Linked DNA regions of Saccharomyces cerevisiae S288C. Changing the gene in region 2 together with the main gene of any one other region gives a genetic interaction. Each region holds a gene or a part of one and is shown on either strand. Other genes may lie near its edges.

Evidence for each region. Genes that interact genetically often act in the same process or in processes that back each other up.
Region 1: mutations in ERV25 (region 2) and ERV14 together harm fitness more than expected from each alone (negative genetic interaction), as found in Saccharomyces cerevisiae (5 studies listed by BioGRID).

The regions. Positions count from the first base shown.
Region 1 is NC_001139.9:400,227-402,891, reverse strand, and holds ERV14 (cornichon family protein), read left to right. Parts: upstream 1-1,604; coding exon 1,605-2,021; downstream 2,022-2,665. Other genes in the region: pheromone-regulated DUP240 family protein PRM8, read right to left, coding at 1-303. UniProt on the Saccharomyces cerevisiae protein: Could regulate export of the bud site and axial growth sites selection protein AXL2 and possibly other secretory proteins from the endoplasmic reticulum in COPII-coated vesicles. Seems to be required for axial budding pattern in haploid cells.
Region 2 is NC_001145.3:244,528-247,591, reverse strand, and holds ERV25 (Erv25p), read right to left. Parts: upstream 1,477-3,064; coding exon 841-1,476; downstream 1-840. Other genes in the region: RAD33 (Rad33p), read left to right, coding at 164-697; UBX2 (Ubx2p), read right to left, coding at 1,689-3,064.

The sequences.
Region 1 (2,665 bases), on a different chromosome or scaffold from region 2:
GATCTGTGGTCCAAACCTGAGTATTAGAACTATCACTAAAATGCCAGAGAATATGAGGAGAAACCCTACAGAAACCCCAACGCAATTTTCGTTATCATGAAAAAGAATAATTATTGAGATTAAAACCCCAATTACTAGAGACAAAAGCATGACCGGTGTACAGTGAGCTGCTTCATATATCCAATAACTCAAGTACGAATGGAATATGTCCTTAGGAAGAGCCACATTTTCCTCGATTAAATATGCACCGGGTTCGTCGAGAGAATCCGACTTGGCGTTGGTATTTTCTGAAGGGGTTTGCATGTTGAATTGATATCTTGTCTTGTGTAAGGTTATTATATGGTTTTGGAGGTTGTTATGCTGATTCGAATTACGACTTGATCTTGATACTAATTGAGCTTTGACGAAATATTTTAGCAATTCAGAACCCCTTTCATATTCTTTTTCTTCTTTTCATTTTTAGAGGCGTTATTTCACTAATAGGTACAGCCTCCGAAATAATACGTAATTGAAGATATGATAATAACAGTACGAGCCTTTTACAGGGCCATTATGATCATGAGTGAGATCCAGAAAAGCACATTGCATGGCAGTCGGATGTTGAGAATTGGGGGAATTTTGAGATAATTGTTGGGATTCCATTGTTGATAAAGGCTATAATATTAGGTATACCTAATATACTAGAAGTTCTCCTCGAGGATATAGGAATCCTCAAAATGGAATCTATATTTCTACATACTAATATCACGATTATTCCTCATTCCGTTTTATATGTTTCATTATCCTATTACATTATCAATCCTTGCACTTCAGCTTCCTCTAACATCGATGACAGCTTCTCATAACTTATGTCATCATCTTAACACCGTATATGATAATATATTGATAATATAACTATTAGTTGATAGACGATAGTGGATTTTTATTCCAACAATCTCAACATTCACCCATTTCTCACATTTATCTCAAAATCCACCCATTTCTCAATAATATATATGGTAAGTAACCAGTTGTCAAAACAGTTTATCAGATTAATTCACGGAATGTTACTTATCTTATATATTATATAAAATATGAATCATACTAAGTGGTGGAAGCGCGGAATCTCGGATCTAAACTAATTGTTCAGGCATTTATACTTTTGGGTAGTTCAGCTAGGGAAGGCCGGGTTTTATCTCATGTTGTTCGTTTTGATATAAGGTTGTTTCATATGTGTTGTATGAACGTTTAGGATGACGTATTGTCATACTGACATATCTCATTTTGAGATACAACATTTTCAGTTAATTTGTTTCCGATATAGTGTAACGGCTATCACATCACGCTTTCACCGTGGAGACCGGGGTTCGACTCCCCGTATCGGAGTATTTTTTTGAAAGTTTTTTTTCACGTTAGTTCCGTGAAGAAAATTTTTTTTCTTCATTTCGGAGAAAAAACAAGGAAGGAGAAAGATTTAAGAGTGATAGCTAGATCATGTATTCCTTAATACGAAGGAGAGACCTGGATTTTTCTCATATTATTATGTCTCACTGCCTACTTAACAAAGACATTTACCTTTGAACTGCAATTAAAGTAAAGTAAAAAAATTAAGAATAAAAAGAAAAATGGGTGCTTGGTTATTTATCCTTGCTGTTGTTGTCAACTGTATCAATTTGTTTGGCCAAGTGCATTTCACAATACTATACGCTGATTTAGAAGCTGACTATATCAATCCAATTGAATTATGTTCTAAAGTTAACAAGTTAATTACCCCTGAAGCCGCCTTGCATGGTGCTTTGTCATTACTATTCTTACTGAACGGTTACTGGTTTGTATTTTTATTGAACTTACCAGTTCTAGCTTACAATCTAAACAAGATCTACAATAAAGTTCAACTTTTGGATGCTACCGAAATATTCAGAACTTTAGGCAAACATAAAAGGGAGAGTTTCCTAAAGTTAGGTTTCCACTTATTGATGTTCTTCTTCTACTTGTACAGAATGATCATGGCTTTGATTGCTGAAAGTGGTGATGACTTCTAATCCAACAAGACATTGAAATCCAAAGAAGACTGAAGGGCCAAGAATAATAGACATACTTAATGGCCGCCCATAGATTGGAGGAAAACTGAAGATAAAAAAGATAAATACACAGAATGTATTAATTCGTGCTTCCCTTTTTTCCTTTTTTGCTTTTTTTCTCAATTGTCGGTGGGAGTTATCAATTTTTTTCGTTATTACCAGCATCTATTAAAGTAAAATACCGGTGAATATCGGTAAATAATAGGTTACTGTATAAATGTACATATAAATATTTGTATAGTTAGTATGCCATACAAAATAAAAAAAAAAAAAAAAAAAAACTAAAAGGTTGAGAACTTAAGGGTGAGCATGACTGTGAAATTTTGAAGAGATGCAGTAAGCCATCCCATATCTATTGCTCCAGGGCCCAGAAAAAAAAAATAAAAAATAGAACTTAAGTTGAAACTTAGTGCAAAAGATATATAATGAAAAAAGATAACCAAATCTGAATCTAAATGAAAATGAAAATTTCTATACATAAATAACGAAGAATAAAATACTAAAATGAAAAAAATAAATAAAAAAGGTAAATCGTAATAAGAGAAAAAAAAAGGAAAAATGTCAAAACGTAATCATGAAAAAAAAAAATTCAATTGATTTTTTTT
Region 2 (3,064 bases):
TGTTCATCCAAATTTTTTTCTATGTCGCATATCAGGCGGGTCACCTTTAGAAGGAACAAGTATGAAATATACTATCATATATATATATAATAACAATTACGCATGCAGGTGTCAGCATTAAGAAGCCGCAAGGTCACCTAAATACCTTCCGAGTTTTTTTTCAATGAGCAAATCCACTAACGTTAGTTATGAAAGAGTAGAGCTATTCGAGAACCCGAAAGTACCTATCGAAGTTGAAGATGAAATTCTGGAAAAATATGCGGAATCCAGTCTGGACCATGATATGACCGTTAATGAACTACCAAGGTTCTTCAAGGATTTGCAACTAGAGCCCACAATTTGGAAACTGGTGAGAAATGAAGACGTCATTATAGAAGGAACTGACGTAATAGATTTCACGAAACTGGTACGATGCACATGCCAGTTACTGATACTGATGAATAATTTAACAGTAATAGATGATTTATGGTCGATGCTTATTAGAAACTGTGGCAGAGACGTGGATTTCCCGCAAGTGGCCTTAAGAGATCATGTATTAAGCGTAAAAGACCTTCAAAAAATCTCCAATCTCATCGGGGCTGACCAAAGTTCTGGGACCATTGAAATGATTAGTTGTGCTACTGATGGCAAGAGGCTTTTCATGACATACTTGGACTTTGGTTGCGTATTGGGAAAACTAGGTTACTTAAAGATGTGAAGCGAACAAATCCATATTCAAATATTTTTTCTCCTTTATTCGGTTCTGGAATCTATTCATATATATGTAGAAAATAGTCGAGTACATATGCAATTATAGGGTAAGCTGATACACAAATGCATGGTGTGGTCCTCTTCCTTTGCTTAAATGATATGTTTCGTTTTGAAGTAGTTCTTCAAATAGTTGACTTGCCAAACACCCAGCGAGGACAAGACAATAATAACCAAAATTGAGAAATTTCTTACCCTTCTGTTGGTAGATTCATTGGTGTCTCTTAATCTCTCCTCTCTGTTTTTCAAGTAAGTCAATTCGTCGACAATTTCGTCGGTAATTTCCTCCACTCTACGCAACTCCACTTCTATAGGTTTCAATTTTTCGTTGGCACTGATCTTGTTCCAGTCACGAGCTTCAGCACCACTCTCAATGTCCAATTCAATGGCCCTGCTTAAAGAACGGCCACGATACTGAGCCTGATTTTCAAAACAAACGTCGAATGCCGTGGAGGATGGAGCAGTAAACGCAACACGAACGTCGCCTGCAAAGTCCCTCTTTCTACGATACTCGTTTCCAACTGAATCACGCACGAAGAGGTTTAGTTTCTGTCCATCACCAACAGAACCATCTGAGTGAATATCCGCGACAACCAATTGACCTTCAGTGACAAAATCACGAATACAAACCTGTTCTGGATCTGTAGATGCTGCAATGTCGAAATGTAATCCCTGCACTGCCACCACCAAAGAGATCAAAGTTGTCAACCATAACTGTAACACCTGCATCCTTTTTTTGCTTTTCACTTATGAGATCAACTGAGTTATACAACTAACTATAAAGGTAGGCCCCAGCTCCTAAAACAAACATATAACACGTAACAACCAACGGTTGGCCAAAATCATTAGGGAGACGAAAGAGTAAAAACGAAAAATGAAAAAAAAGTAAACTCCAGAAACTCTTTGTACGCGTTTGTCGTTTTTAACGATATGCTATTTTATCATTGTTCTTCATTTTCCTCATCTTCTTCATCTTCTTCATCCAGTGCTTCCACTAGAAGACTGCCATTTGGCCATAGCTGGGGCACTTGGTCCACCGACATGTGCTCGTTAGGATGCACAGTATACTTAGGGAAGGGCGATACCAATTCAAAGTCGAATTCAAGTTTACCACGTTCGAGATCAAATGAGGTAAGCTCGTTGTTGATGATGTGGCCGAGCTCTTCGATAGTGGTAGCAGTAGCAGTTTCGAGTTGTCCTTCTTTAAAGCAGAGCATATCGTCGTCTGCAGATAATTGCCTGATTTTGTCCTGGAGGGCGTTAGACCATTCTGCGGGGTCACTAGAATATACCGCGAGGTATATGTGACACCCAATGGATTGGTAGATTTGGTAAAGTGTAGTCATGGAGGGGAACTTCTTGACGAATCTTTTGCCACTAGAAGTCCTAAATTGCAGAGTAGCTTGCTTCCCCGTTGTCTCGAACGGCTGTATCTCATCGATGCAAGCCTTTAACCATTTTAATTGCCGAGCAGTTGAGTTTAATTTCAAATCCTGAGCGTGTTTCAAGCTCTTTTCCTTTTCTATAGCTTTGATTCTGTCCATTTCTAGCGACTTTTTGTACGCATCCTCCTGCAGTTTTTTTATTTCTCTTGACATGCGTAGCTCGTGCATTTCAGTTTTATTAACAACTAATTCTGGAGTGTACTTTTCCACCACGTTTGTTAACGACTGCAAGAATCTGTTCAGTGAATTGACCTTTAGCTTGCCGAGAATGGAGAGTCTTTGTGAGGGCAAAGTTTCTGAATGGGAAGCCTTATTAGCCACGTTGGCAATGAGGAATATCTCCGGGGTGTTTCTGACACCTAGTTGGCGAGCAACCAGCCAAGGTTCCAACTCGTGTACGCATTTCAAATAGATAATCAGGTCGTTATCAATCTTGCGCAAGTACTGTAAAGTCTTCTTGTTTAACAAAATCTTTTCCAATAGTAGTTTAGAATTAACATCTACGGTATCAGTATCGGTATCGTAGGTGTCGCCCACTAGGATGAGCAACATAAACTTAAACTCTTCTTTTGCAATACGCAAGGCCTCATTGAAGGAAATGTCTGGTTTAAAGCTTTTTAGTTCGCAAAATGCATCCTTGTCCTTCGTGTCACCCAGTATTTCTGCAAGTGGGATATGGGTTTCTCTGGTTGGTGCCTTTGGAACCTTGGAGATCTTGGGTTTTCCTGAATTACCGCCACCACTTATCGAATGCAGGGACAATAGAGTGCAAAAGAACGTGAATATTGTGGCAGATAACCTATTGATTATCCGAGGGATCAACAGTAAAATAAAAAGAAAGGGGTTACCATCATAACTAAAAGATTCAAACA